7 linked regions of the Danio rerio genome follow. The protein of the gene in region 6 interacts with the protein of the main gene of each other region in a pairwise test. Links are inferred from orthologs where the notes say so. Each region holds a gene or a part of one and is shown on either strand. Other genes may lie near its edges.

Region 1 (5,089 bases), on a different chromosome or scaffold from region 6:
CAGACAAATACATTTCCTTTTCGAGGAAATGGCATTTTCTTAAAATATGTGGTACCGGTCACAACGCCAGTTCAAACAGTTACAGTAAATCAAACGCAGCGCAACACTTGCTGGCAAACTGATCACAAAACAAACTTTTGAGAGTCAAAGGTCCAAACCAGTGACTGGCAACCAAACATTTACATTTTTAACCAGTCAGCAAGAGAGAAAAGCCTCTGGAGCTGCCACCTCAAACCACAGCGGCCTGCTCTCAGCGCGACTCCCCACAGGCTGTTTTATGAATGAGACATCTGAAATACTCTACAGCCTGCAAACACTAAAACATTCACAATGCCTGATAAGAGAACTAGTTAGTTATAAATTACTTGAAAAACAGTGTGATACTGTATGTCATGAAACTTTGGGTCTTCTGTATATCAGAGGCTACATAAATTATAGCATCATTCTGTCTAAAAGCGTGTAAATGATAAACAATAATTTTGTAAAAGAAGGTCAAAATATATATATATATCGTTTCGACATTGATATCGCCAATGTGCGCATCTGGAATTGCCACATTGCAAGATATGCAATGTTGAGTCTTAATTATAGTTGACCAGAAGCTACAGAACACGTGATTTATAGAGTCACTGCTAAGTCTAACCATAATAGAGTGAAGGTTTATCATTCGCATGTGTTTTTAAGGCCTGTAACTGAGCATTTTGAGAGAGTTTAAAACATTTGGGCACAAAAAAAATATGATGTTTGGAGTTAATTATTTATACAGATTTTATATGATTTTTGCAAAAAAAAACTTACTTAGAAGTTATGTTTCTAATACTAAGCTAGTTTTTTTTTTATTTAGGTGAAAACAAAACAATAATTTCACTCAATCTAAGGATTTTTAGATATCTTGACTGAAAAAGAGACGAATAAAAGTAAGAATCACAATAAATTAGCATATCAATATTTCGTCCCACCCCTAGTGATTATTCAATTTCTGTACCTTAATACTGTCAGACTAATTATTAGAGAGTTATTTAAGCCATCTTTTAAAAACTGAAATATCGAAATAACTGATTTTTCCAATATCATGCAGCCCTTGTCGAAATTCACACCTGAGATTTAAATTCCAACTCCAAATAATCAATTATTACGTCAAATAAATAGTATTTCAAAACTGTAGAAAAATAAAGTCACAAAAACTATCATGAAATTATATAAAATATAAAATAATGGGATCTAAACCAAGTTTATTAAAAAGTCTCCTTTAGCTTGATTCCACCAGCTTTATAAGGTGCACCCTGAAATGCTCAGGGAAGTTCCCATCTAAGCTTGACACTTGGGAACATCTCAGAGCATCCTAGAATGCACGTCAGGAAACTGGAATACATCTAATTATTATTATTTTTTTAATTTATGAATAAATCTACAGATTTTAAAACTACAGGTGTTAATACATTAAAATGGTAATTTATTAGTGATGCATTACAATGGATGTTTTTCTCAATACTGGGTTGGAGCTGGAAGGGAATCTGCTGTGTAAAACATATGCCAGAATAGTTAGCGGTTCATTCCACTGTGGCTACCACTGATAAGAAGTGACTAAGTACAAGGAAAATTAATGAATTTGTTTGTTTTTGTTAAAATACAAATTAAAACATTAAAAATACATGAATTAAATTTTTTTTCATTCATTTAAATTGTATATATAAAAATTCTAATTATTTAAATACATTTATTTAAAATTGTGTAGTTGTGTTTAAATACACACACACAACCACCCCCCCTCACACACACACACACACACACACACACATATATATATATATATATATATATATATATATATATATATATATATATATATATATATATATATATATATATATATATATTTACCAAACAAAATAATATATATACTATTTAACAAATGAATAATTACATTTTAATAATTATTCATTAGTAACACATTTTATGTATTTTAAAGTATTAGTTAATTAAATAATTTATAGAAATAATAAAAAACAACTATTCTATAATACTTATTTTAAATAATCTGGATTTTAATGCATAAAATGTAACAAAAAAATTGTAAAAAAAAATAAATAAATAAATAAATAAATATATATATATATATATATATATATATATATATATATATATATATATATATATATATATATATATATATATATATATATATATATATCCAGAAATATTTTTGTTACATTTTATGCATTAAAATCCAGATGATTTAAAATAACTGTTATAGAATAGTTTTTTATTATTATTTCTATAAATTATTTAATTAATTAATACTTTAAAATACATAAAATGTGTTACTAATGAATAATTATTAACATTTAATTATTCGTTTGTTAAACAGTTTTTATGTATAAAATATGAACATGTTAATAATGTGTAATAACTGTTATCTTTATTCATAATAACAGCAGAATCAGTCTACTAAAAGATATAATTAGTCATATATGTTGCTTTCAGAGTTAAAAAGGTTAAGAATCTCTGTTCTACATTACACATGCCATGCATATTAATGCAGGTCATTTTTAATGCAACAACAAGCCTCATGAGTTCCTTCCTATTATTACGAAATATGAGAGACATTATTACTACTGTCAAATATTCAGAAAGCGGAAATAACGCCCACAAACCACTGGAGACCACGTGTGTGTTTACAAGTTACCACAGTGATGTCAAGTAAACATGTGGCTCATCACTTCTGGCTTTATGCTAAATTCAAGACTCAAGAGCTCTACTGTAGGATTACCTGTGCACACAGGTGAGCTGGGACTGAGCCTCTCTGGAGACAGTCTGTCATGCTCGGGGGTCTGGAGGGGTTTGGCTCTGTGACCGCAAGACCACAGTGGCGAGGATGAAGACGGAGAGGATGACAAATGAGAGGTAAAGGCTGAAGGGTCCGAGCAGCCGCAGCTGGTCTGCTGTGAGGGGGAGCAGCACTGCGGGCCCAAGTGCACACCTGAGTGGGCTGAGGACGAGGATGATCTAGGGTTTGTCGCGTGGACAACGATAATGGGGCTAGTTCTTGATGAAGATGATGGTGAGGGAGAGGAAGAAGCCGCTGTTGGTGTGATGAACGCAGAGGAAGTGGACGTGGCTGCTGAAACGGCACTGGAGGAAAGGGATCGCGTGGGGCTCCGGCTGTGAGCTCCGCTGCTGTGGCATTTACCGTTACCGGAGGATGAGGAGGACAGAACCGTCCGTGTCTGTAGAGGGTGCTGTGGCTGCGTTTTCAGCTGGAAAGGAACCGTGGCTTTCATGGGCAGCAGGCGACCCAGTAAATTCACTCCAGCGGCGCTGATCCCCGGGGATCCGATCGGGCTTCCCGTGGTCACTCCGGACGTCGGAGATCCGTTTTTGCGAACTCTTTGAGACATTCTGTTCGCTGGGAAATCGCGCAGAAGTCAACAATAACAGTTTAAACGTGCGTTTAAGACCGCCTGGGGTGGTTAATGCTCTTTGGTGCTCTTGTCACTCCATTTAAAGACAGTTTTAAGCTTCCTGACTGGCACAGCCGAGCCGTTCCGCGAGCTCGAGTAAACTGAGGGAGATTCAGAGCCACGCACCGTCAACTCGATCCAGCGCTCTGCCTCCTTGCCCCTGATTGGCTGGTCGCTCTCCACTCACAACTTCTGATTGGCTGGGAAGTGGATTCTTTAATTTCGTGAGCACGCACGGTTTATTATGAGGAAAATGTTTCATGGTTTCGCTGTGACGAAGGTAATTAAGGTTTATGAAGTAGGTTAGCAGGATTTATCAATATGATATATTACTGTCTGCTTCTCTTGAGTTTAAAGGCTCTTAAAATAGCAGTTATCAACTATGTCTGACAGCTGAACAAGATGCTGTCATTGTTATAGAAATATTATTAAATTTATTAATAAATAATCAATTTATAATTAATAAATTAAGATTAGAAATATATTTTTTGTCATTTGAATGCTGTAAATTGTCATTTTAATCAATTTAATTTTAAAGATGTCTGTAAAAAAAATACAGGCCCGTAGCCAGCCTGTTGAAAGGGATGTTTTTTTTGTGTGTGTGTGTGTGCTGTTATTCGCCTCATTTTCTATTCAATTATGCATTTTAGTAACACTTTAAGAACTATGCTGGATCAGCTTGTCGGACGGTGATCATAACCTCACTTTTTTGATGCACAAAAAACATTTCCTAGTTTTGTCAAAGTGATCATCATACTATTTTACTACGAAGTATTTATTTACAAACTTGGATTTAAACTGTAAGTTAATCCAGTTTTATAAATATTGTTATGAGATTAGCATTTAAAAATTGAATAAAGAAATATGAAAAAAATACTTATTTTTAAATACAAGTGTGTTATAATGCATTATTCTAAAAATAGTAATCTGGTAAAACTTGTTTTAAAATAAAAACATTTGCCTATGGGCAAATAAAAACTGGCCAGCTCATTCAACTTTCCTCAGTCAGAATTTGGCCACTTAATTCAAATTTGTATAAAAATTTAAGTTGTCTTAAAGCCTTCTTCTATCTAGAATTTTCACAATGTGTGATGGCATAGCAGTCAAAAATGAGCAAATGAGACAAATGAGCTAATATAGGGGTCAGATTCTGGACTTAGTCACCCGAAAACCTCCAAATGCCCCCCAGCTACGGGCCTGAATCTAAAGAAAATATAAAAGAAAAAAGAAAATATAAGAAAAGAAAACCCGCTCCCAACATAAAACCACAATATTTTATAAATTCAGTATTTACTTCACATTAGTAACGTATGTTGTCTCATACATCAAATCTTCTGTGATCTACACAATCACACTACAGTGAAATAAAAAATACATGAAATAATATGCCTTTACTCTTAAATCTAATTGTTTAAAAAAAAAAAAAAAAAAAAAAAGGGCCTGTCTAGGGCCTACGTGTTTTTCCGTCTTAAAAAATGGTTGGACAGACAGACAGACAGACAGACAGACAGACAGACAGACAGGTAGATAGATAGATAGATAGATAGATAGATAGATAGATAGATAGATAGATAGATAGATAGATAGATAGATAGATAGATAGATAGATAGATAGATAGATAGATAGA
Region 2 (4,934 bases), on a different chromosome or scaffold from region 6:
GAAAAATCAAAGTGTTAAAGTGAACCAGCCGGGGTAAACTGATCCACTTACTTTTTCCACATTAAAACTACCATAACAGCGCATGTTGTAAGAGTTTGAATCCAGACAGCTAGCTTGACAACCACACATTTCAGAACTAATGCCGGACTAGTCAATTATGGACTGGAGATTGGTCAACAAAGCACATGTTTTTCTACACTTGAAAGTAACTCTGAACAAAATCAAATGCAACAATCCAATTCAAACTATTGGAATCTGCATACTAATGACAGACAGAACCAGTTAGATTAGAACACAATCCGGTGGTCAGAACACAGGACCTTTAGAGCCAGCATAGTATGGGGGTCGAGAAAAGGGCAATCAGAACCAGATAGAACAGCTTGGGACGCACACATGATTAGACCCACCTGGATTAGAACATTAGTCTACTGTCATACTCATACCCTCGTCGACAACCTAATTTCACCCTCGTGCTTTTGAATTAACATCTATGTTGATCTTTGAACAATATCCCAATCAGACTTAGGGGTACGTTTACCGTTTATTTTCGTTTTATGCTTATGGTTAGGTTTATGCACTACTACATGATTGTTATCCAGCTATTATTCCCCTCTGATTTTGGGAGTAATGTATATGAGACAAATTCTGGACCTTCGTCAGTGGGGTGTGGGTCTTTTGAACCACCCGAACCCACCCATGCACTGCAAAAAATGCTTTTTTTACTTAGATTTTTTGTCTTGTTTCTAGTCCAAATATCTAAAAGTTCTTATATCAAGAAGCATTTTCTAGACAAGCAAAACATATTGTCTTGTTTTAAGAAATAATCTGCCAAAATGAAGTGAGTTTTTCCTAAAATCAAGCTAAATAATCTGCCAATGGCGTCAGCAAAATAATCTTATCACAAATTGAAAAACAGGATTATTTTCCTGACCCCATTGGCAGATTATTTAACTTGATTTTAGGAAAAACTCACTTCATTTTGGCAGATTATTTCTTAAAACAAGACAATATGTTTTGCTTGTGTTGAAAATGCTTTTTAATTTAAGAATTTGTAGATATTTTGACTAGAAACAAGACAGAAAATCTAAAAAAGCATTTTTGCAGTGTGGCTATAGGGCCTGATATATTAGATACTGTACATGCATGTCAAATTGTGTATTTAATTTTATTCCTGCATTGTCTGTGTTTTTGCTCTGTCACTGTCATTCTGTTGACTTCTGTCAGGAAAACACAATAAAGCTTGTTCTGATTTTGATGTTATCATATGTACATGTTATGCCAATGTGGGCGAGTATCTGATTGATGTGGGTTTAATATATTGTCATTATGAAAAGAAATGCACAAAGTGCTGCTACTCTCCGCCATCCTTGTACAGTATTGAGTGTATTCCTCCGACACTGTGCGTCATGACGCGTGCGCGCTGGAGGAGGAGCGTCATACAGGAAGACGCAAGGAATCTGCAGATTCTCTTCAGCCTAATAACACTCAGACCCTTATATTCATACATTCAGTCAGAGATGCAGCGGTTTCGGCTCTGGCACGCGTTTTCTCTCCTCGGTCTGCCGTGTTTAAGCAGCGCGATTGATTTTAAAACGCGAACGGGACCGCAAGTGACGGACAAGGTGAGACGCGCGTCCTGCAGCATCTTCTGCAAACACTACACAACCATCATCATCCTAATCATCATCCACAACACACACACACAAACTAAACCTACAGCCGATCGCTATTTAAGTACAAATCGCTGTGTGCTGTGCGCATGCGTCTGTTCATTGCGTTCTTCTTGACGCGACGCGCTTCACTGGAATGCGTCACATTTGAGGAGTTTCAGGCACACTGAAATAAGAGTTGGTGATGGCAGTGTTTCAATTCTGTAGTTATTCCAAATAATATTATGCATTTTTTTTTATAAAAAAGGCAATTATTCAGAATGACATCCTCATGTGTTGTGACTGAAAAATAAAATTATAAATCAAAATAAATGTTTGGGTTATCTTGTGGTGGAAAACTATCGCGTGCACCTCTCGACAGTACTGTATAATTACACAATATTGTCTTTTATGGTGCAATATCAACAGGAGTAAAAGCAAAACAATTCAACAAACAGTAAAACGTATTTTAAATGCTACTTAAAATGTCCATTTTGTTTTTTATTAAGTTATATAATTTAAAATGATCAGTGTTTTTTTTCTTTGTAACATTTAACCAACAAATAAAGTCAAGAAAAAAATATTTAAAAAGAAATTTATGAAAATTGGGTGTACTTACTATATGATTAATATTGCAGATAAGTTGTGTGTAATTACTGTAGTAATACATGGAGCTTGTGTAAAGACACCTTAAATGAAGGGTTATTTAATATTATTTAAATAGTCTGATTGCATACGGTGTATAATGTCTTCAGATATTTAGCAAACTGTACACTTAGCTCTTGCTCTGTGTGTGTGCATGTGTATGTATGCATATATGTGATTGTATGCATGTGTCTGTATTTGTGTGTGTATATGCTTGTGTATGTGTGTCTGTGTGTGTATGCGTTTGTTTATGCATGTGTGATTGTATGCATGTGTCTGTAGTTGTGTGTGTATATGCGTGTGTATGTGTTTGTTTATGCATGTGTGATTGTATGCATGTGTCTGTATTTGTGTGTGTATATGCGTGTGTATGTGTGTCTGTGTGTGTATGTGTTTGTTTATGCATGTGTGATTGTATGCATGTGTCTGTATTTGTTTGTGTTTGTGTGTATATGCATGTGTGTATGCGTGTGTTCATGCATGTGTACATAAATGTGTTTGTATGGATATGTCTGTATTTGTGTGTGCATATATGTGTGTATGCATGTGTGCGTAAGTGTGTATACATGTGTGTTTGGATGTACGTGCCTGTATTTGTGTGTGCATTTGTGTGTGTGTGGGTCTGTGTGTGTCTAACATGTCTTTTTGAACATGTGTGTCTGTGTCTATGAATGTTTGTGTGTATGAATGTGTCTGTATATTAATGTGTGTGTGTGTGTGTGTGTGTGTGTGTGTGTGTGTGTGTGTGTGTGTGTGTGTGTGCTGCAGGTGTTTTTCGACATCACCGTGGGTGGTCATGAGGTTGGCAGGATCGTGATTGGTCTGTTTGGTGAAGTAGCTCCTCTGACCGTACAGAACTTTGTGTCTCTGGCCACTGGAGAGGTAAAACTCTGCATCCTAACTTTAACCATACATATATATACATACATACATCCACAGTTGAAAGCAGAAGTTTACATGTACTCTAAAAAAAGGAACATAACTTTTTTTTTTTTTAATGTATGACGGTAAATGATACTAAACATTTTTGGTCTGTCAGGATTACCTAAATGATTTACATTGGCTAATTGCCAGAATAATGAGAAAATGTTTTATTAATTTCTAGACAGTCAGACGTTTACACACATTTCCTTGGTATATTTTAGCTTTGCTTTTAAACTGTATAACTTTGGTCAGATGTTTTGGGTCTCCTTCCACAAGCTTCTCACAATAGTTTGCAGGAGTTTTGGCTCATTCCTCCTGACAGAATTGCTGTAACTGAGTCAGATTTGTAGGCTGTCTTGCTCGCCCAAGCTTTTTCAGCTCTGCCCACAAATGTTCTATAGGATTGAGATCAGGGCTTTGTGATGGCCACTCCAAAACATTCCCTCTGCTGTCCTTAAAGCACATTTGAACTCATTTGGCAGTGTAATTTGGCTATAATTCAGCCAAATCAGATGAAAATTATGTATTTATTTATTATTTTTAGTTGTGAATTCACTTCAGGAAAACACATTATATTAAATGTAGAGATTGCACTAAGACAGAAATTAAGTGTGATAAAAAAAAAAAAATAATAATAAATTAGAAATAAATAAATAAAACTACAAAGGGTGGGTATTAGAACTGTTGGCTGGAATTTCTAAGGGCCTCCAAATTACTAAATCCACCCCAATTATATTACTGTAAAGCATCCTGTACAAAATATGATTGTGAAAGAGAGATCTGTGACGGGTGAACTCATTTATGATCAACGCTGTGTGTGTGTGTGTGTGTGTGCATAACACAGATCATCTCTCTCTCTCTCTCTCCATCTCTCCAGAAGGGTTACGGCTATAAAGGCAGCAAGTTTCACAGAGTTATCAAAGATTTCATGATCCAGGGAGGAGATTTCACTGCTGGAGATGGAACAGGGGGTGAGGATCATGATCTCCTGGATTTTGAAAATTAGTAATTATTTCCATAATGAGCCATTCAAGTCATCTGGTGAAAATGTATTCATATTGCAGTTCATTCATTCATTGGCTCAGTCCCTTTATTTATCAGGTGTCACAACAGCGCAATGAACTGCCTACTTATCCAGCATACATTTTACACAGCAGATGCCCTTTCAGCTGCAACCCAGTACTGGGAAACACCCATACACTTCTATTCAAACAGATATTCTAGGGACAATTTAGCTTACCCAATTCCCCTATAGCACATGTCTTTGGACTTGTGGGGGAAACCAGAGCACGGAAACCCACACCAACACGGGGAGAACATGCAAACTCCACACAGAAACACCAACTGACCCAACCGAGGCTCAAACCAGTGACCTTCTTGCTGTGAGGCGACAGCACTACCTACTGCGCCACCCACAGCTAATGTTTACGTTTGTAATTTTTTAAATTATTTGCCAATTAAAAACCACCTATATAACTCTGAACATGCATCTCATTTCAAGACTGACATGAAATATGGCGCATTTCCCACCAAGGCAACAGGAGGTCTGAAATGTAATTGGCTATACTGGCAGTGGGCGGAGCTATAGAGATCAAAACAAAGACAGATGTTCTGACATGGAACACACATATTCAAAGCAGAACAACTTTGACTTCAGCATTGTTTCACAACACAGCATGCGTCTTAAATATCTGCAGTCAAAAACATACAGCACCT
Region 3 (4,399 bases), on a different chromosome or scaffold from region 6:
CCATGTTAGAGCAACCGACTCCCAAACAAAGAATTGCCAGTTTGATACCAGCTCAGATTGGTTGGGTGCAGTAGAACCGGTGGGTTACACATGGGGGCACGTCTGGGATGGGTGTAAGGTTTAGGGGGATGAGCGTAATGGAGGCCAGCTAGTGAAGTTCTTAGCAGGTAAACCTCACTCCTTTGACCTCTAAAGGTGTTCTAGCAACAGACACTAGAGGCCATGGTCTTTAGCTTCCTTGTTAGAGCAACCGACTCCCAAACAAAGAATCAACAGTTCGATCCCAGCTCAGGCTGGGTTTGGTGCAGTAGGACCAGTGGGTAACAGTATAATCACATTTTTTAAAGTCCTGTAGCTTAGCAGAGCATTGTACTAGCAGCACCACTGGTCATAGGTTCAATTCCCAAGGAAAAAATGATAAAAACATCAATAAAAGTGCTTGCCAAATGGATAAAAGTAAACTTATCGCCATGAGGTGAAGAAAAATCCTTTTGCTTTGGTTTTGATCATCCTATCAAGGTGTATTTTGTAATAATGACCGACTGACTGTACATTACTCTCTATGAGAAACCTTTTGGCTGGAAGACGCCCAGGATGGATGATGAAGGTAGATTGGTGAATTTAGAGCTACCAGGAAACCAGAAACTTAGGAATTGAGTGGACATAGGCCAAAAGGAGAGCGCATTAATCTCATTAGGGTTATCTGAACATCAGGCAGAAAGATCCCATATATTTCAACATTGAGTGTCGTGATGAGAGAAAGAGGAGAGGAAAAACAGAACGACAGCATCTCATAATGTGTGGAGAGGGAAAAGACGCTGAAGAGAGAAAGAGAGATATCACACATTAACTCGGGTCCAAGTTCCAGAGGGCACTTTGCGGTCATTTCCTGGCCTGACAGCTAACCACAGACTCTTGGCCTAGGTTTCAATCGTTCTCCAAGAACAAAGGGCTTCCCCCAACAATCAATCAATTTCTGTGAAACCAGGCTGGAAAAAGTCCATCACACTCAGGTTTCAGTAGGAGAAAAAGTGTGTTTTTGAGGTGTTTGAGTGTGCTTGACTTTGGATGCAACAGTATGAATTGAGCCATCTGTAGTTTGGTTCCATACCTCTGGGAAGCCAGTCATGTTGACCACAAGTAGCTGAGGAGACTTCATGGATATCTGGCCCAGCTGGTTGAGAGGAAATTTGCCATCCTTTGTGGTGACTGTAATGTGGTCCAGTGCACCTGAACACATAAGAACAAAATCTTTTGTTAGCCAACAGGATTCGCTGCAATTATTCAACCATTATCCACTAAGGACATAAAGCAAAAAGGGTTCAAATCACAACCGATATTTAATGTTTGACATGGAATAAAATCACAATTAAACAAAAGCTATGATTGTCATGCACATCTTGTCACTGAAGGACAGTTTTGGTGATCACTAGTAAATCTCCTCTGAAGAGCAGAGGGCGCTCTCGCGCACAACTTCCAAACACCCATGAAGAAGGCACCCAGGAATTTCCCAGAGTGGTTGGTGAATAACCGTACGTTCACACCGAAAGCGGCGAGAGCGTCAAAGTAGCCGGAAGTCATTCATTTTCAATGAGAGCCGGCGGCGATAGGCGGCGAGGAGCAGCGCGGCGCGTCTTCGCCGGCGTAAGCGTCGAGGAGAGTTGAAATGAAGTCAACTTTATGGTAATGAGCTATGACGCGGTTCGGCGGCAAGCAATCAGAATGAAGACGTCCATCGCTTGATAGCAGTTCAGAGAACACAGACCTGTGAACTTTGGTTCCAACCACAGTTGTTCCCAAGGGTTTGATTATTGTGGTCGCCGGATTTCCAATTATTTACAATTTTTTCCTACAGGAACATACATTAAATAAGTTACTGGCGAGTTACTGACGTTCATTAATGTTATATAAATTTATCTTAAAAAAGCGGGAATCTCACGCGATGTGAAAGTACGAAACAGTACTGCTGCTTCAGGATATTTCAGACATATGGACACATATTGGATAAATAGAGCAAAGCCACATCACACGCAACTTGATCTTCCATTGTTGTATGAATTTGATAAGAAGTGCGCAACATTTTCACGCTAGAAACATGTTTTATGCAGGAATGTAACTGATATGCTGCAACGGCTCCTTTTAAAATGAGATCAATGTAGCGAGTTTTAACGCTCTCGCCGCAGGAGCTGAAGGCAGAGAGCGTTGTCGCCAGGGCGGCCAGAGTGACCTTGGACGCTCTCGCCGCTTTCGGTGTGAACGTACGGTAAGAAGATTTAACTGCTTTAATTGAAATAATATGACTAATAATCACATGGCTATAGAACTATCTCTTAGAAGGATTTATTTCAAACACTCGATTGAAGAATTTGGAATAAAAACATGTAATTAAATGTTGTATTTTGAAGAGCTTTCACCATAGACAGTAAAAGATATGGACGTAGTATACTTGATCTCACCCACGTTTCTGAAAGCACAAATAAAGCTACAAGTAGGCGTGGCCAACCGCACCATTTTGTGCGCGTGTCATCCTGCCCACCGGGGGCTACCAAAAAAGAGCAAAGAGGCAGAGCGTGAGCGGAGCTACAGACGCTTGCTAGCATTTTGCTTAGATGAGCTTTTCTTTGGGAGAAACGCTTAATACTTCATTACCTGCGACTCGTTTGTGTTCTGACCATTTGTGCTTGGTTGTGTACTGTATAAATAAAGTGTTTAGTCTTTTAAAATCACTGTTGTGATAAATTGAGCCACTAAGCACTGTTCTTATGACATTTTTTATAGAAAGAAAACACGAATAACTCTCAAATACTTCAAATATAGTCTGTGTTAGTAAATGCAAGGCTTTCATACTGTATATACAGTGTGACATCCAGGCATAACATTGTATGACAACGTTTCAGATGACTGATCTATAGCCTACAGCGTATTAATCTGTCAGATTCTGGAGTGCATTACAGGTCTAAATAAAAATATAAATGATAAGTAATCTTAAATAAAACAAACACATTTAGAAAGATGGTATACAAGTATTAGAATTTCACTCACCTGAAAAATGGAGGCAGCGTGAAGGGTTTGTGTGCACAATTAAGTGCACACAGCATGCTATATTATCTGATAATTGTAAGAAATAATTCCAAAAGGCAACTTTAATTGTGTGAACCCACATAAAACAAAGCAAAAATGCTGAGCTCAGCGGCTAATCAGCCGGAATTAGCTGAGGTGACATGAATGCGACCATCGAGACCTCGCTGTTACTCAAGTGGCCACGCCCTTAATTATGCAGACTTAATATAACTTAATATAAATGAAATGGATGAGTTATAAAAAAAATAATAGCTATTTGAACCAAAATAGTTTTTTTTTGGACTAGGCTGTAAACAAACCTGCTGTAAAGTTAGACATTTTAACAATGGGCTCAATAGAAATGTGCTCTATTTGATCCAGGCCTAACAGAATTTCAATGAATTGCAGGTTTAGTTACTTCCGTATTAGCTTCACGAGAAAGAGCAGGATGTTACAGCTTGACTTTTACACATAGCAGCAAGACTGTAGAACACTGATGAGCTTTGGCAATATGTTTTGGCTTCACTCTTCTGGACATTTGTGTAGTGTGGTCCCTATGTTGAGCCTGCTCTCTAATCAGGACCCTTGGAAATGTCCAAAGCTAAGGGGTACCCTTAAGGTGCCTATGATTAGGCCAAAATAACCTTGTTTAAGGGCCATTCCAGAAGCTAAAACAGTGAAGCACAATGCTAGAAACATCATGCCCAGGAAATGCAAGAACAGAAAAAGAATGTTTTGACCTAAAGAATGTTGCAATTGTTTTTGCCCATACAATGAAAGTCATTAAGGCCCATAACAACATGGAATGCCATTGTACTGTACAGACAAAAAAGCAGAGACATTTTTCAAAATACCTTATTTTCTCTTTGACAGAAGAAGAATGCCATGCAGGTTCTAAATGACATTTCATTTTGGGAAGAACTTTTAAGACAAACAATGGAATAACTGCCTACACTCCATCTGACAACAACACATTTGCTTGAATTATGTATGTTTTTCCTATCAGTTAATGCATCCTTTCCCTACCAGTCACAAAAAATAAAAGGTTGCAAACGAAGAGACTCATTTCGATGATTGTTGTGACGACATGTCTCGCTCTCTTTGAGGGATGAAAGCACCCAGTCTTTCTCTTCAGACAGAAAACCAGAACATTTCGCCAGCATGTCTCCTTCCCTCATCTGCCTTACCTCACGCAGCAATGTTTCTGTCTCTCACCCTTTGTCCCCAGGCTTACCTTATTTTATCCCACACTTCAGGAGAACACTGAAACACTCCATTACACTTTGATCTTTCACAAGAGAACCTGCATGTGACTTTTGTATATAAAACCCTCTCAATT
Region 4 (4,399 bases), on a different chromosome or scaffold from region 6:
TTATTTTATTTTGTATATTGTATATTTATTTTGTAAAAGTATATATATATATATATATATATCATATTTTAATGATAGTTAACTAAACTTCAAATAATACACAGCACAAATATTATCAAAAATAATAATAATAGCAAACAAAAAAAAATATTAAAATACCAGCAAAAAACTTGGGCAGAGATATAAATGTGAGAAATGTGAGAAATGTGAGAAATTTCACTGCAAACATAACATAATCAGGAAGATGTATGGGAGCTTTTGAATGATACTGATGATCTGTTTTGGCATGAAATAAAATAAAATAAAATAAAATAAGGCGCAGTGGGTAGCACGTTCGCCTCACAGCAAGAAGGTCGCTGGGTCGCTGGTTCGATCCTCGGCTCAGTTGGCATTTCTGTGTGGAGTTTGCATGTTCTCCATGCCTTCGCGTGGGTTTCCTCCGGGTACTCCGGGTTCCCCCACAGTCCAAAGACATGTGGTACAGGTGAATTGGGTAGGCTAAATTGTCCATAGTGTGTGTGTGTGTGTATGTGGGGATGTTTCCCAGAGATGGGTTGCGGCTGGAAGGGCATCCGCTGCGTAAAAAAACTTGCTGGATAAGTTGGCGGTTCATTCCGCTGTCATTCCTTTTTTTAAAGTAAAATAATAAAATAAAATAAATAAAAATAAAAATAAAACAAAATATGTTAATGAAGCTCAGTGCCACCAGTAACACTGGCTTCTGTAGCCATTCTACTGCCTATATACTGTATGCTAACTTGTGTTGATGAATGATTAGTCGGAGAAGGTCTCTTTTTTATTTGCACAAAAGTATTTCTTGCATATACTGTCTTTGAAGTCAAATGAAAGGGAAGTTAAGATGTTCTTTTTCCCATGTCATGGCGTACATCTGATTAAAACGATCCTACAATGAGAAAAATTGGAAAATAATTGGATTGCTGGAAGATGGGTGTTGCTAACAAAATGAAGGATCAACAGATGGACGAAAGCAGGGCAGAAATAGGACACGCCCTGATAGCCCCGCCCTAAAGGCATTCCATGTGACCAGAAGTGAAAAAAAGTTGTTTCAAGGGGGAGAGATGGTTATGGTATTTGATAAAACATTATAAGGGCAAAATAATTTGTACAAAATAATGAATTGCACAGATGCAATGTTTTAGCAAACACTACTATGTACACATAAAAATAAGAAGAGTACATTTTGATTTCATGCCGACTGTAATGACCTAAAAAAACTATTGATTTCATCAGACTCATTTTAAAGCTGAATTTATTTGAAGTATTTGCTGTGAAGAAGTTTCCCCTCTGAATGTGGCCATAATAGGAGCTTTCTGGTTCTCACAGGTGTGATCCTCTACATTCTGCTGGTTGGATATCCGCCATTTTGGGATGAAGACCAGCATCGCCTCTATCAGCAGATCAAGGCTGGTGCCTATGATGTAAGACTGAAGTTGAAGATTTCTCCTGCAAAGTGTTCACACTATACAAGAAGACACTGTTAGAGCTACATATGCAGAATATGATGAGACTGTTGATAACCATTGGGCAACACTGATGATAACTTGATGATATCTTGGGTTCCACAGCATATATGTTCATACAAAATAATGAAACTATGCTCAATTGTGTTGTTTTATCTCCAAATGTAGTTTCCTTCTCCCGAGTGGGACACCGTGACCCCTGAAGCTAAAGATCTGATTAATAAGATGTTGACTATCAATCCCTCTAAACGTATCACAGCTGCTGAAGCCCTCAAACACCCCTGGATCTGCGTATGTTTTTTTAACACATAAACACACACTAGTAAACAAGCTTGTCTATACACAGTACAACAAAGGACTGTTTTAATCTTTACTAATGACTAATTTTTCTATCTTCTTTCTCTTCCTTCAGCAACGCTCCACTGTTGCCTCAATGATGCACAGACAGGAAACCGTGGAGTGCTTGAAGAAATTCAACGCCAGAAGGAAACTCAAGGTTAGTTTTTAACTGATCTTTTACAGTTTTCTACTTTTGACCAAGCTTTAGCTTTCTCCACACCTTCAGAGTTTACTTCGCAGAGCTTCACCATTGTGTGTGCACTTGCTTTTTCTCTAAATCCGAGTCACAGAGACTCTGTTTACACCAGGTATTAATATGCATTTTCATCAATGTAATTACAAGTGGATGAATCAAAGGCCTGCTTTCACAGACAGGGCTTAGGGTGCACTCACACTATGCTATCTGAACCGTGTCCTGGCTTGTTTCCCGGTTCGTTTGACAAGTGTGAGTGTTCTGAATCGGGACATGTCATGCATATGAGCATTCCTGCAAAAGTGATATAGTGCTTGATTAAATAGGAGACAGGGGTTTTGTCAAAATCACAGCGATCACAAATAATGCATTTGAATGCATGTTAATAAATATAAATGGATTGAAACAAGGCCAGGGTATTTGTGCTTTAAAAGTATTTCAGTACACTATTGTATTGCTTTTTGGCTAATTATACTTAAATTACATTTTGTAAGTATTTATGAAAAGTCATTATAAGAGGTTTCAAACTAGAAAAAGTATTTCATCTTGCAAATAAACAAAAAAGAGATGACACTCTGCTGTTGCTTCTGTGCTATTCTTTCTTTCACCTCTCTCCTGCTTCTTGTTTTTTCCCCTTTTCTTCCATTTCCAAAACTTTTTTTTTTTTGCAACTAGGGTGCAATTCTGACCACTCTCCTGGTCACAAGAAACTTCTCAGGTACGTCTGGCTCTGCAGAACTGTACGTTTGAATTCTACAGCTGCAATAAACTCCCTCCGTTTTTATTTTCCTGCACAAATACTGTAAATTTGATTCAAAATGCTATAGTTTTTTTCTCATATAACTTGCTTTGTGTTTAATTTGCTGTTTATTATTGATTTAATTTTTTGGAACAAGTCTGTTTTGAAGTGAGGTGGTACACTACCACTTTTCAGACATTTTATTTAACATTTCTTTCCTGTTTATCGTTGCTTTGTCTCTTTTTGGGGGGGTCCTGTGGGTCCCGTGAGGTAAGAGTCTAATTGGACATAAGAAGGGGATGTGTTTTTACTCTAACCAGTGAACTGGTTTGCTTGTTTGACACACTTCCCTGTTACTCTGAGATACTAATTACCCTTGTTTGCATGTTATCAAACAGATTACATTCATATCGTCAACTCACGTTTTGTGTACAATGTCTATAAAATAATTTTTAAACTAATACATTTGCATTAGTTTAAACTATATTAATGCCACAATAATCAAAAAGTACTTTATGAATGTAATCACAAAAATAATGTTAACTTACTGGAAGAATAAATGTTTACTGTCTTGCTAATGAAACAAGTATCTTGAATGCTTGCTCATTATCTGGTTACATGTTCATCTGGATATGTTTATGTGCATTTTGCAATGTTACTTTTACAAATCAGGTATAATAATTTAAGGGTGTAGAATTTACTAGCTCTAAGCAAAATACAGTTGTCAATATGTTATAGATAAGGTCATAACTGTATGGTTGTCTGCACTAAATTTGTGATGATCTGTATTCTAAAGCAACTCTTTCTTCGAGGACAAATGTGTTTAATTTATTTATATAGCACATTTCCAACTGCCAAAAGGCTGCACAAAGTGCTTTACAGAGAAAAAATAAACTGACGATATGGGCATAAAAACAGTAACAGCAATAGGCACATAAAAGGAAAAAACATAGAAAGTGTAACAATAAAAAGAGCAAAAAACTAATTGAAATTTTGCCTAATTATAAGATGCTACCACAGTTGACCACACTAAATAAGATTAAGAACAGGAACGTTTTGATCCCCCCACCCCCCTACTCCTGACGGGAAGGATTTTTGCTTCAAAAGACCTACAAAATAAATAAGTCTTTACTTTAGACTAAAAAATAAGCAGTGACAAAGCCTTTTTTAGTTCTAATGGCAGGGCTTTCCAGAGGCGAGGACCTGATATGGCAAAAGCACTTTTGCCCCTACTGTTGAGGTGGGCCTTTGGAACTTTTAATAAAAACTGATCAGCGGAACGCAAATGTCTGAATGCAGTGTAAATAACAATCAGTTGGGATAAATAATGCGGGCCTAGACCATGTAGGGCTTTAAACACAAAGAGAAGTTTTTTAAATTCGATTCTTTGTGTCACCGGTAACCAATGGAGAGACCTCAAAATAGGAGTGACGTGCATATTTCAGGCTTTTTGTTAAAAATCTAGCTGCTGCTGTAACTGTAGGCGAGCAATCTAAGACTCAGACAGCCCAAAATAGAGATAGTTAAAATGGTCCAACCGGGAGGTTATAAGCGTGTGTATGGCAATTTCTAGAGAGTGTGAATGAGGAGAGGATTTCATTTTAGAGAGACGGCGGAGTTGGTAGAAACTATTTCCAACCACTTTTG
Region 5 (4,399 bases), on a different chromosome or scaffold from region 6:
TAATGCTGAGTTCAGACTGCATGAGTCGTGTCACAGATGTTTTCACACTGCATGACTATCTGGGTTACCGTTTGGTTACTGCTTTGTTTACACTGTAAGATGAACCGGCAACAGGGGGTTTCACACTGTATGACTTTAAAATAGGATGAATCGACAAATTCGGTTGGTGGTTCGAGCCTCGGCTCAGTTGCCGTTTCTGTGTGGAGTTTGCACGTTCTCCCTGCGTTCGTGTGGGTTTCCTCCGGGTGCTCCGGTTTCCCCCACAGTCCAAAGACATGTGGTACAGGTGAATTGAGTGGGCTAAATTGTCTGTAGTGTATGAGTGTGTGTGTGAATGGATGTTTCCCAGAGATGGGTTGCGGCTGGAAGGGCATCCACTGCATAAAAACTTGCTGGATAAGTTGGTGGTTCATTCCACTGTGGCGACCCCGGATTAATAAAGGGACTAAGCCGACAAGAAATGAAGACTCGCCAAATTCACACAGCATGATTTGAATTGCCGACAATTCAATTTTTCTACTGCTAAGATGACATTTGTCATTATCAGATTCCCTCTTTCATTAAATTGAACAATATATAGGCTAGAGTAGTTACACTGACACTGTAAAACATTTATTCTCATGTACAACACTCTGTGTTCGCTATGACAGAAAAAGCTTTAATATTAAATGCTTGTCGTAATCATAACTCTATAATGCGATATGAAATTTTTAAATGATGTGGTTCATACTTCACGCGCGGCTCCCAAACGATCGCTCTGTGCAACAAACTGAATGTTATTCGCGACTGTATTACCTGATATTCACAGCCTATGAAGGTTCTGTTTAGAGATGCGCGGATGGGCTACTATTTCATCCGCAACCGCATCATAAAACTCATTATCCGTCCGCCATCCATCCGCACTAACATTTTTTACCTATTTTTAAAACCGCACCCGCCCGCCATCTGCTGACTGAGCTCTTTATTTGAATGGCTTATTCCTTTTTATTATTAAATGAATGTTTCTTTATTGATTATTAGAAAATAGAGAATGACTTTAATGACATGCAGTTAATCCAAACGTGCAAGTCAAATCCAGCATTAATTGACGCTTTGAAGTGACGCTAAACAATACGAGGACGTGTCGTTTCACTTGATTCGATTCCTTGGTCCTTGAGGTTTTTTTTTGCGTCCTTCCCTCGCATCCTATAGGGGTGGAAAGACGAGGAAAGAAAGCAAGGAAAGGAAACGAGGATACACAAATAAGAAATGAGAAGCACCCTATAAAGCTCTCAGAATATCAGCAGTGAACTCCGTCTCCAATCGGTGCACAGGGACAAAAATAAATAAATGAAACGCACTGTACTGTACAATTTTTTTTTATTATAGTAACCTAATAGAAAACGCATTTTGACACATCATTTCAACATTCAGACGAGAACGCCTGGCCTCTAATGCGCCCTGCTGCACTGAAGGAGCGCTCGCTCGCGGCACTTGTTGCTGGAATGCATAGAATTCTCTTGGCAAGGTGCTGTAGACGTGGGAATGACTGCCTTGTTTCTCCCAAAAAGAAAGTAGATTTTCCTCTGCTGATCCGTCTATTCTTAATTTTGTAGAGGAAGACTTCTGTACTTCATCCAGAATTAGTGTATCCGATTCCTCCTCTCATTCTGTGAAGTCAGTCCTAGGCTTTTTCGTTGGTGCGCCAGCTATGTGTACAAAAACAGTACAACCGCCCGCCACCCGCCCGAATTTAATTAAAATATTATTTTTCGTCACGTCATCCGCCCGATCCGCGGTTTATCCGCGGAATAACCGCCATCCGCGCATCTCTAGTTCTGTTCACTAAAGTAGACTTCATTCACATGCGCCCGCTCTCTCTATGGTACCAGCTCACAGTCAGCTCACATCTAGTGTGATTTCACGGCCGTGAATACGTCATTCCACGAAGAAAGAAATGGCATTTTCGAGTGATTTATACCTGATAAACAGTATGTGACTCTTTTATTAACATTTGGAGGAGTCCATATTGCTAAACAAAGTATATAAAACATTGTGAAGACTTGTGCGGCCGCCTTTTCTTCTCTCCTGAACTTAAACATATGATTGGCAGAATTGTAGAAATGCTGGATTAAGATCGTTTATATGGGTGGAATCGAGATCGCAGTTTTTTCTGATTAATCGTGCAGCTCTAGTGCGCGCGTGTGTGTGTGTGTGTGTGCTGACCTCTTTGAAGAGTTTGCTGGGTGCAGCGATGGCTCTCTCCTGCTCCAGGTACGAGGCCCAGCACCAGGCCTTCTTCTTGCCTCCATACGGCACCGCTGCATCATGGGAAATATCAGAGTCAGACTCACCTAGAAGCATCTGTTTGTGTGTGTGTGTGTGTGTGTGCGTATGCACATATGTGTGTGATTGTCTGTGTGTCTGAATGCATGTTTAGGTGTATGTGTGTGTATGTGTGTCTATGCATGCATGTGTGAGTGTTTCTGTGTTTATGTTTGTGTCTATTTACATATGTGTGTGACTGAGTTTCTGTGTGTGTGTGTGTGTGTGTGTGTGTGTGTGTGTGTGTGTGTGTTTGTATGTGTGTGCGCGTCTTTTCTCTGTGAATGTGTACGTATGCATCTGTGTGTATGGGTTTGTGTGCATTTACATGTGCATGTGCGTGTGTGTGTGTGTGCACATAGGTGTGTGATAGTCTGTGTGTCCGTATGCATGTTTAAGTATGTGTGTGCTTCTGTTTGTGTATTTGTGTCTGTGTACATAAGTAAGCATTTGTGTGGGGGATGTTTGTGTGTGTGTATGTGTGTCAATGTAGGCATGTGTGAGTGTTTCTGTGTGTATGTTTGTGTCTATTTACTTATGTGTGTGACTGAGTTTCTGTGTGTGTGTCGGTTTGTGTGCAATTACGTGTGTGTGTGTGTGTGTGATTCTGTGTGTCTGTTTGTGTACGCATGTATGTGTGTGCATGTGTCTATGCATGTGTGTGCGTGTGTTTCACTGTATCGGAGCAGTGCTGCGTCTCCTCTGCGTTTCTTGCGTCCTCGTGTCGCTCCTCTGGCTGGTCGCCTGCTTTCTTTCTCTTCCTGTTACACACACACACACACACACACACACACACACACACACACACACACACACACACACACACACACACACACACACATATCTGATGTGAAACCTGAAAGCCAGCAGATCAGAAACACACACTTGACTCTACAGTATTTTCTGTGTTTTTTCTTTCGACATAAAAGTGTACAATCACTTGTGATCTTATTTCAGATTAGTTGAAGGATAAGCTCATTATATATCGTATAATTAGCTCATTATTTCTGAAAACAAAACAAATCTTTTTACTTGTCTAATCTGTAATAAAGCTGTGAAAAAGGACAGCATTGAAAACATCTGCTTTACAATGACGTCCACCAAGTTAGCTGGATTCAGGGTTGCCAGATTGGAAATGTCAAAGTATCGTATCAGACCCTCAAAATTATCGTATTTGGAGGAAAATTATCGTACACGAGTCAAACTGAGAGTATACAGCTATTATCTAGACACATAGCGTTTTGACACAACGTGCAAATTACCACAATACGTTAAAAAAAAACTAGGTACTTAATGGGAAGGTTCAAACTCCACCTCTGAGTTGCTGTAATTGAATGTGGCATGTTGCCAGATGTTGAGGGATTTATTTTCTGAGGTTTTGTTTTAATGAGACTAACTTTGTAAAAAAACAACATGTTCACAAGACGCATTTGAATGGGGAAAAAACGAGAACATCAAGGGAAAACTCTTGTCCCGCTCACCTTCCTTTACAGCACAAATTGTTTTAACATTATTGCTTAAAGGGCACCTATGGTAAAAAATCTACTTTTCAAGCTGTTTGGACAGATCTGTGTGTTGGTATAGTGTATAGACCGTCATACTGGGGTGATATGAACACACCCAGTCCTTTTTTTTCAATTTAACTACAAAAAAAGGGTCGGCCAATTGGAGCTGTTTTCAAATCGATCGCACCATTACGTAGGTGTGCGATCCCCCCGCCCACCGAATTGATTGACAGCTGCGCGCATTAACATGTTCCGGTAGTCGCGTGTATATGTCAACAAGACCAGACATACGCAAAGCAACCGGGAATAAAAGCTCTGTTCTGTTCGCTAGGATCAGCAATCATCATCAAATCAAAAGCGTTTTACTTCAGCTTTACTTCATCAGCACAGCCGCGTGTCAGAACAATTATAAAAGAAGACGCTTCAATCCCGGAAGTTAAATCAGGTTTATTTTTTACATTAGCATAACAGATATCCACACAGTACTTGAGGTTAGCCTTAACTAAGCTAAGCGCGCGCGCTACTTTGTAACGATATTGTGTGTGACTCATCCTTTAAAGGGCACCTAGGTTACCCCTTTTTTCAGATTT
Region 6 (4,399 bases):
CATTAGATGTAGCGTTACATGGACATCGCAAAAATAAGACCTGTGCAAAAATATTTAATACCTAGAACAGCGAATTTAAGACTTTTTAAAGCCATACATATCGATTTTTTAATTTAAGACTTTTAAGACCCCGCGGGGACCCTGTTGTCATTTATAACATATGTTGTACGCCGTAAAAACGGGCAGAAATAAAGAAAAAAATAAACAGAACCAACCATTTAATGAATGGTGCTGGTGTATAAATCACATGACCTATGGTCCACTTACCAGCGTACTTTGTCACAAGTCTGAGTGGCTCCGAATGGGGACCCGGACACCATGGGTACTTGAATCGTTGACTGGTTCTTGCCCATCACTGTGTCCAGTTTCTCCACTAAACCTCGACAGGTCACCTCAAGAACCTGCAGCTTTGCTTCCATACTGTCCAGCCGCTGGCAGATCGCCTGACTGATGGATATCAACATCGACTGGAGAAACAGAAATACAGAAATTGGTAAAATATCTAATTATATTTAATACCAGATGAAAATGTCATTTATTGATAGATGAGACCCACATAACCATCAAGATTTTTGCACACTGTTGAAGTGTGTGAAAAACTTACACCTGAGCAATTCATGTGACTTCATTCTCCATACAAGAGGCGTCTTTAAGCTGCCATCATTAAAAAAAGCCTTTTATATAAAGTATTTAACACGTTTTAGGCAAGGCAAGTTTATTTATATAGCACATTTCATACACAGTGGCAATTCAAAGTACTTTACATAAACAGGAATAAAAAACGACAAGTTTAGAACATAAAATGCAGACAATAAAAAATATTAAAAACAGATAAAAACAAATTAAAATGAGTTAAAATAGGTTATAAAAACATGAAAAAGAAAACGAAAAACATAATAGTGCAATCTGTCGGACGCAGCACAGTGCTTATACAGTAACGGCACAGCTAAACAGATGTGTTTTCAGTCTCGATTTGAATGTGCCTAATGTTGGAGCACATCTGATCATTTCTGGAAGCTGATTCCAGCAGCGAGGGGCGTAGTGGCTGAAGGCGGATTCACCCTGCTTTGACAGAACTCTTGGAATTTCTAGTTTATATGATTCTAATGATCTGAGAGATCTGTTAGGTTTGTATTCAATCAGCATATCTGTTATGTATTGAGGTCCTAGGCCATTTAGTGATTTATAGACCAGTAACAATACTTTAAAATCTATTCTGAATGTAACTGGGAGCCAGTGTAGAGACCTGAGGACAGGTGTGATGTGCTCTGATTTCCTGCTTCTGTTTTAGTAGTTCAGTACTTTCGCCTTGTGTCATTTCATTGCTATTACACAAAATTTATTTTTTAGATTTGTTTTGTTTTATTTTTGTTTGTATTGTTTGGGTTTTTACCAAAATCTGGTTCAATTCCATGTCAACTGCTTCTTTAGAAATATTATTCCCAACAAAAAACATGACGTGCTGGATACTTATTTTCCCTGCTATATATTTTTAAATGCAAAACACACCTATTTTTTACTGTTGATTTTTATATGTGCATGCACGAGGATGACTGTTGACACTATTGAATATTCAGATTTGGAGCCCTGATTTTAGTTCATTCCAAAATTTAAAATCTATCATCATAACCCATATGTAGGCCCGTACGGAATCTGCGAATTCACAGATTTCCACCAATTTTTTTTTTTTTTTGTCTATTTGTTTAACTATGTAAATGTGAGTGAATATATATTTTATATTACCTGCAGTAATATTACTTAATAATTTGCTAATGTTTATATGATTTATTTAACACAGTTTGTAATGTAACAGTTTGTAATGTAACAGTCTTTTTAGTAGATATATTAAATGAGAAACTGACTTTGTTTACCAAACAAATGGGTTTGCTTTGTAAACCTTAAATTTAAAAAAAGGGTTATATTTAATTATTCCATGTATTTAGTTACTTTATTTTCAAAATCATTTAGCATAAATTTGTTTTTACAAAATTCCGCGCAGAAATAGCAAAAAATGTCAAATTCTGCAGACACACAATTGTTGTTTTTTATGGTGAACATTAAACTCACAACTCATCAAACAATGAGCAAGCATGCTTGACTGATGAACAATAACCAAAAAGGAGAATCATTGCTTCAGTTTTTACTCCATGATTATTATTTATATGCAGAGATGTATAGTAACGAAGTAGAACTACTTCACTACTGTTCTTAAGTACTAAAAGGCTGTATCTGCACTCTGCTGGAGTATTGTTTTTTTCTCCTATTTCCACTTTTACTTCAGTACATATCTTCAATGAGTTTAAGGGTACTTTCATACCTAGACCTTTGTTTCGGAACCTGTCTCGTTTGCAATCTAGCAATCGCGCTCGGATCTGCGCCAAAACAATCGCTTCGAGATCGCTTGAATGAGATGGTCTCAGCTCGATTCAAACGAACTCTGGAGCAGATTAATTGTAGTGAGAAAGCAATACAATCCGAGCCCGGCTATATCACAGTGTTTTATGGATATGAAAAGAGAATTATGAGTAGGGTGGGAGGTCATTCAACAGACATTCATATATATATTTATAGATTTTAATGAAAAAAAATTCTTGTGTTGTGAAGACAAAATCGAATTATGTATGGAAAGCATTGTCAGTGCACCGAGATATCGAATTGAACCGAATCGATAGCATGATAATGGTAACCGAACCAAACCGTGAGACCAGTGTAGATTCACACCTCTACTCCTTACAATTATAGACCTTTTTCTTGGCTGCTGCATGGAGGGCACCATAGTGACCAGTGTCTTCCGGCAGAATGTTTAGAACTCCCGTTTACGGCGTTTACAACCGTAATTTGCAAGCCGAAAATGGGTTTCAATAGCGTTTTGAGTGAATTACAGAAATTGGAGTGAAAGGTGTGTGTTAAAGCTGTTATAATCTGTCAGATCTGTGGTTCAAGCGAGAGAAAAACGTTATCCTAGTTCATATAAACCGTAAGCCATGTTTCTTTTCGTTCGCTTAATCATGTGCCCCAAAAAAAGATATTTCAAATAAGCAAAACAATATGTCTTTTGACTGCTTTCTTTAAGAACTACATTACACAATACTTGTACTTTTACTTACAATATTTAAGTACAAAAAATGTTGAATACTTTAGTACTTCCATTTAAGTATGGTGCTTGGAGCATTTCAACTTCTACTCAAGTCACTTTTTTGATAGAGGACTTATACTTTTACTTAAGTCTGGGTCTCTAGTACTTTATACATCTCTGTTTATATGTGAATAAAGGCCAGAATTACATCTGTCCATTATATAAATAAGACTTGGATTAAACTGCTTTGTTCATGCTTTTTTGATTCCTTTTTAATTGTCGAATGAAGCATTATAGTTTTGGGAAAATAGACCTTCAAAAGAGGAACCAAAATTTGGTTTGGGACAACATGTGGACGAGGGTGAGTGATGGTGAAACAACCCTTTAATGACATTAGAAAGCTACCTTGATAGATGTTTCTTGACTGATCTCAATTCTTGCTCGTTTCCTCCCTGGTTGATCAGAGTCTTCATTATTCTCCAGAACATCTAGTATAAAATAAAAATGAATTACATTAGTAGGAAACCACAAACACTTTCATGTATAAACATATATGGTATTTTTTAAGGTGGACTTACCTGTTTGGTGTCCTTCATGATTTAAATCCGCCACTGCAATCTGGACTATTTCCACTAAATCTTGCTCTGACATCATTCAAACCTGCATTTCAGAAAAATGTAACCAATAAATAATTGGGGATTGCTTCGGATTGGGTTATAATTAAGTTATAATTATAATCAACAAAAGCAATTAAACTATTAGAGGATAAATAATTGAAAAACGATTACAAATAATTATTCATTTTCCTTCGAAACGCCCACTTATCCAGCATACGTTTTACACAGCTGGTGCCCTTCCGCTGCAACCCAGTACTGGGAAACATCCATACACACTCATTCACACACTTTTACCAATTTAGTTTGTTCAGTTCACCTACAGTGCATGTCTTTGGACTGTGGGGGAAACCGGAGCACCCAGAGGAAACCCAAGTGAACATGAGGAGAACATGCAAACTTCACACAGAAATGCTAAATGACCCAGCCGGGACTTGAACCAGTTGATGTGAGTTGGCAGTGCTAACCACTAAGCCACTGTGTCACCTACAAATAATTATACAATCACCTAATATGGGAAAAGAAATATTATAAATAAGTATTACTTAATTACTAAATACTTTAACTGGGTTTTGTCCATAACAAAACAATAATAAAACACAAAAAAAAATTCATTGGATTTTTAAAACATTTTATTGAGATTTTGTTTGATTCTTTTTGAAAAGTTAATATAAAAAACTAACATATTTAAATATAGAACTAAGTTAAA
Region 7 (4,399 bases), on a different chromosome or scaffold from region 6:
TTCCTTCCCTTAACATTACTTAAAGAAATGCATTAGAAGTTAATAACGTCTGCTGGGAATGAACAATATCTGTGGCCAAAACAAAACACAGATTTCATCAGTCATTAAAGTGATGGCAGTCACTGTGGCGCTGTCTAATTTTAAATTAAACAACTTGACGACTGTTTTTATTGTCTAACTCTGTAATGGAAAACAAAACGATAAAACACACATGAACTTGTTTTATTTCCCAGCAGCTTCCAAACTGCAGCAATGTGAAAAGGGGATTATATATTTTATGACATAGCTCCTCTGGTACTTACTGATAATGCCTGTGTATCCAATTGAAAGAAATTAGTTTCTTGTAAATTAGAAATTAGTTTTGCCCAGTAGTTTTAGTAATAGGAAAACATCATGGGAGCCTGTCTCTGCTAGAAAAAAAAAAGAAAATTGTAGAATGTCACGATTCAGAGAAAATACATTTCTGAGTTTGTCCCTCAAGTTGCCAGATATAAATCCACAATTGCAAAAAAAAAAAAAAAAAAAAAAGGAAAATTCACACTAGATTTGACTTTTTTCCTCATAATTACTGTTTTTTTTTGTGCTGTTCTGGCTTTTTTCACCTACAGTAAGTGGAACTTTATTTATTTTTATTAAGTTATTGTAAAATAAATGTCAGAATATTAACATGTATTGTAATGTAATGTAACTGTAATGTAATTACATTACATTACAGAATATTAACATGATACAAACTCAGAGTTGCCAAACATAAATTTACAGTAATATAGTATAAACTTACCCCCCTCTGAAATCTTATCCACCCCCATGCATTCTTGAGTATGTTCCATTACAGGTGAGTGGGCTTAACAAACCACCTGTAGAAAAGACTTTTTTTTTCTCATCTCTCTGACTCTAGGTTGCACATTTGCACTATAGACACTTTCTTAATCACTCCATGTATCTTGGAAACATTGTGCATTTCAAACTGTGCTTCATTCAGGTGACTGGGTTTACAAACCACCTGTAGAACATCCTAATCAGGAAGAGTTTTGAAACGACTATTCATGCTTCATTTCCACGCGATTAGATCATTGTAATACTTTATATATTGGTCAACCTTCATCTTCTATTTCTAGTCTTCAAATGGTCCAAAATGTGGCTGCCTGTTTGCTCACGAGTAGCCACAAATAATATTGCGATCACTTTATTGGTTTCCGGTTCATTTCCAAGGAGACTATAACATTTATCTGTTTATAAAACTTTGTGTAACCTAGCACCACCGTATCTTTCTAATCTGATCACTACTAAGACCCAAACCTGATCGCTTAGATCAAATTCCGACTGCCATCTATTGCAAACACCCTGATCTCATCTCAAATGCAGGGGCAATAGAGCTTTTGCAGTTGTGGTTCCGAAACTATGGAATAAGTTACTATTAAAAATCAGAACAGCACCCACTCTATCTATTTTTAAATCAACGTTAAAGACTCACCTTTCTTTTCCGAGTGCATTTAACAGTCCCTAGGTTATACTAAACGTATTCCCTCTTGGAAACTCTTAAAGTTATTACTATTGTTTTATATTGTTGTTTTTATTATAGTGTATTGCTGTTTTTACCTGCTACTGCTACTGTACAGCACCTTGGTCGACCAAAGGTTGTAATTAAGTGTGCTCTAGAAATAAACTTTGATTGATAGAAACCTTCTTTTCTCTTTTAAGCACCTGACACTTTATCCAAACTCCATCTTACAAGAACTCAATAATGAAAACGATGTTTACTATAAATGTACCACAATCATGTTGCACTGCTTGCTAACCTAAAATAACTCTTTTGCACAGTATTAAGCCTTAAATACCTCTTTTGCACATTATTCACTTTTATTACCTCTCTTGCACAATATCCTGGACAACTCAGTCTCATTTAAAAGTACTTGTATAGCCTTCTGTGTATAGATAAGTATCTTATAATATATGTTAGTTATGCATAGTTTTTTAAATAGCTCTTATGTCCAGTGTTGTGTTTGTATTTATGATTAATTTATGTAGCACTGCTGTCCTGCGAGACACAACATTTCGTTCCTCTGTATGTCCACACATGTAGCCGAATGACAATAAAGCTCGACTTGTCTTGACTTTTATGATTTTTTTTAATATTTAAATATAATTTTAACTTTGTTAATGTTTTATACTGTAAATTAATAACTATTTTTATTAGTTAGTTTTTCAGTCTGTATTTGAGTCAAATAATGAGCCAAAAAAAAAAACATATGACCTCTAAAACTAATTCATTTCATCATGAGCCTCAGTCTTCACCAAATGCAACAATAAAACATCCAGATTCTCCATGAACACACACATTTTTTTATAATACTTTCAAAAGTAAACCAATTGCAGGAAAAAGCTCACATGCCAACTCAAACTCACAACTAACAAAATTCTCTTCTCTTTCCCTCCCCGTACAGCAACCCCACAGCATTGTGCAGCGGCGCCTCTTGGAAGGCAACATCCCCCGTCTGCGTGGAGAGACTCGGGATATCCCGTCTCATGTCCGCTCACCCCTAGCAGACAGCAAAGAGCCTGGAGAGCCCGAGGAGAGGAGCGAGAGCACAGTGGATGATTCCACAGAGGAGCGCGAGTCTCCTGAAGAGAGTGAAAAGAGCCTGAGGTCTGATGAGGATGGGGATGATGAAGATGAAGGAGACAGCAGTGACGCAGGAGGAAAGACTGACTCCAAACAGAAAGAGCAGAGGAAGAAAGAGCTCAAGGAGGGAGAAAGAGCAGCCAGTCTCTCAGCTCTAGTGGTCCAGTGTAAGGTAGGCTCTAGTGTTTTCACAATACTGGAATTTCTGACTTCTATGTATGTGATACCCTGAAGAATATCACTGATTCATGCCATTTTTGATACAATGGGGAAATATTACAACAGCACAGTGGTAACTGAATTGACGATATTTACGCTTTTATCTTCAATTGGGTATATGCATACAGACTTTTTATTTCAGCTATCCAGCCTCAGAGCTTCCGGTGAACTCTTTCCATTATAAAATTGCCACGATTTTTTGAAAAATCAGTGATCTTCACTGCCTGATAGATGTACAATATGAAATAGGTCTCAGATTGGACATGTAGCACTGCAATAAATTCAATTTCCCCCGATATGTCTTTAAAATATGTCAATTTATTTTACCCCAGTATTTTCAATGGAGTTTCTACGCAAGTCTGCTGATCCTGACCGCGCTAGACTTTACGCGGTCTTTCATCTCATTTTACGCTTGCGCAACTAAATCAATGCTTAAGTCTATTAAACTGAATGTATTGTAATTACATTACAACAACGATGCTGTAAAAGGAACCTTATAAAATAGAAAAAAAGTCACATTAAGCTTTCACAGGAAGTTTATCATTGTCTGAAAAACACTAGCTGTGCAAATACCCAATTGGCAGTCTTAAAAAGACAGTTCACCTAAAATTTAAATTTGCTCACTATTTACTCATCATCGTTCGGATCACAGCAAGAAGGTTGCTGGTTCGAGCCTCAGCTGGGTCAGTTGGCATTTCTGTGTGGAGTTTACATGTTCTCCCTGTGTTCGCGTAGGTTTCCTCTGGGTGCTCAGGTTTCCCCCACAGTCCAAAGACATGTGGTATAATTGAACTGGATAGGCTAGATTGTCCATAGTGTATATGTGTGAATGAGAGTGTATTGGTGTTTCCCAGTTATGGGTTGCGGCTGGAAGGGTATTCGCTGCGTAAAACATGTGCTGGATGAGTTGGCGTTTCAATCTGCCGTGGCGACCCCAGATTAATAAAGAGACTAAGCCGAAAAGAAAATCAATGAATTTACTCATCATGTAGTTTCTTTAGGGGTTTCTCTTAATTTATTTAGAAACCTGCAACCCTTGACTTCAGTAGTAGGGAAAAGCAATCCTGTAGAATTCTATGTTTTTCAGGTTTTAAACATTGTTTAAAATCTTTTGTGTTCATCAGAAGTAAACAATGACAGAGTTTACAGTTTTGGGTGAACTATCCTTTTTAAAACATCAAGCATGGCCCAATGTTGAGCATGAACCTTGAATTCACGTTGTCATTCATCCAGTTTTCATTAAACGTAAAACTTTTAGAAGCAAAAAAACAAAAAAAGGTTGTATTTAATAAGAGAATGTTTTTTATCAAAAATAAGAGAATTTTTGAGTGAACTAATCGTTTAAACTGACTAAACCGTAAACCGCTTTAACCGACCTTAAACGATATTGAGTTATCGAATATTGTTACTTTTACCAACTCTACTAGGCTCTGTTCTGTCTTTTCCCAGTTGTCTGTACTTATAATAGTGGAGATAACAGCTTGCTGTGATGACAAAACACAAGCTCTGGCTCTCTATGACTCATGGGTTTATTTTCCTCACAGCCAATTGTTCTCG

The links.
Region 1: the proteins of banp (region 6) and fam117bb interact in binary tests that used the Homo sapiens proteins (3 or more experiments, as listed by UniProt). The two-hybrid records come from large-scale screens. The link is inferred for Danio rerio from reciprocal best matches to the Homo sapiens genes BANP and FAM117B.
Region 2: the proteins of banp (region 6) and ppic interact in binary tests that used the Homo sapiens proteins (3 or more experiments, as listed by UniProt). The two-hybrid records come from large-scale screens. The link is inferred for Danio rerio from reciprocal best matches to the Homo sapiens genes BANP and PPIC.
Region 3: the proteins of banp (region 6) and mrrf interact in binary tests that used the Homo sapiens proteins (3 or more experiments, as listed by UniProt). The two-hybrid records come from large-scale screens. The link is inferred for Danio rerio from reciprocal best matches to the Homo sapiens genes BANP and MRRF.
Region 4: the proteins of banp (region 6) and camk2d2 interact in binary tests that used the Homo sapiens proteins (3 or more experiments, as listed by UniProt). The two-hybrid records come from large-scale screens. The link is inferred for Danio rerio from reciprocal best matches to the Homo sapiens genes BANP and CAMK2D.
Region 5: the proteins of banp (region 6) and l3mbtl3 interact in binary tests that used the Homo sapiens proteins (3 or more experiments, as listed by UniProt). The two-hybrid records come from large-scale screens. The link is inferred for Danio rerio from reciprocal best matches to the Homo sapiens genes BANP and L3MBTL3.
Region 7: the proteins of banp (region 6) and nrip2 interact in binary tests that used the Homo sapiens proteins (3 or more experiments, as listed by UniProt). The two-hybrid records come from large-scale screens. The link is inferred for Danio rerio from reciprocal best matches to the Homo sapiens genes BANP and NRIP2.

Annotation. Positions count from the first base shown.
Region 1 is NC_133184.1:13,264,612-13,269,700, reverse strand, and holds the start of fam117bb (protein FAM117B), read right to left. Parts: upstream 3,399-5,089; coding exon 2,771-3,398; intron 1-2,770.
Region 2 is NC_133183.1:635,932-640,865, reverse strand, and holds the start of ppic (peptidyl-prolyl cis-trans isomerase C), read left to right. Parts: upstream 1-1,422; 5' UTR 1,423-1,517; coding exon 1,518-1,622; intron 1,623-3,062; coding exon 3,063-3,176; intron 3,177-4,095; coding exon 4,096-4,189; intron 4,190-4,934. UniProt on the Homo sapiens protein: PPIase that catalyzes the cis-trans isomerization of proline imidic peptide bonds in oligopeptides and may therefore assist protein folding.
Region 3 is NC_133185.1:9,922,780-9,927,178, forward strand, and holds part of mrrf (ribosome-recycling factor, mitochondrial), read right to left. Parts: intron 1,231-4,399; coding exon 1,112-1,230; intron 1-1,111. UniProt on the Homo sapiens protein: Responsible for the disassembly of ribosomes from messenger RNA at the termination of mitochondrial protein biosynthesis. Acts in collaboration with GFM2. Promotes mitochondrial ribosome recycling by dissolution of intersubunit contacts.
Region 4 is NC_133176.1:15,575,665-15,580,063, reverse strand, and holds part of camk2d2 (calcium/calmodulin-dependent protein kinase type II delta 2 chain), read left to right. Parts: intron 1-1,344; coding exon 1,345-1,439; intron 1,440-1,649; coding exon 1,650-1,772; intron 1,773-1,893; coding exon 1,894-1,977; intron 1,978-2,688; coding exon 2,689-2,731; exon of another isoform or gene 2,732-3,022; intron 3,023-4,399. UniProt on the Homo sapiens protein: Calcium/calmodulin-dependent protein kinase involved in the regulation of Ca(2+) homeostatis and excitation-contraction coupling (ECC) in heart by targeting ion channels, transporters and accessory proteins involved in Ca(2+) influx into the myocyte, Ca(2+) release from the sarcoplasmic reticulum (SR), SR Ca(2+) uptake and Na(+) and K(+) channel transport.
Region 5 is NC_133195.1:2,224,971-2,229,369, reverse strand, and holds part of l3mbtl3 (lethal(3)malignant brain tumor-like protein 3), read right to left. Parts: intron 3,066-4,399; coding exon 2,981-3,065; intron 2,301-2,980; coding exon 2,206-2,300; intron 1-2,205. UniProt on the Homo sapiens protein: Is a negative regulator of Notch target genes expression, required for RBPJ-mediated transcriptional repression. It recruits KDM1A to Notch-responsive elements and promotes KDM1A-mediated H3K4me demethylation.
Region 6 is NC_133200.1:32,860,094-32,864,492, reverse strand, and holds part of banp (protein BANP), read right to left. Parts: intron 3,737-4,399; 5' UTR 3,731-3,736; coding exon 3,655-3,730; intron 3,565-3,654; coding exon 3,482-3,564; intron 468-3,481; coding exon 268-467; intron 1-267. UniProt on the Homo sapiens protein: Controls V(D)J recombination during T-cell development by repressing T-cell receptor (TCR) beta enhancer function. Binds to scaffold/matrix attachment region beta (S/MARbeta), an ATC-rich DNA sequence located upstream of the TCR beta enhancer.
Region 7 is NC_133179.1:18,183,548-18,187,946, reverse strand, and holds part of nrip2 (nuclear receptor-interacting protein 2), read left to right. Parts: intron 1-2,444; coding exon 2,445-2,795; intron 2,796-4,399. UniProt on the Homo sapiens protein: Down-regulates transcriptional activation by nuclear receptors such as NR1F2.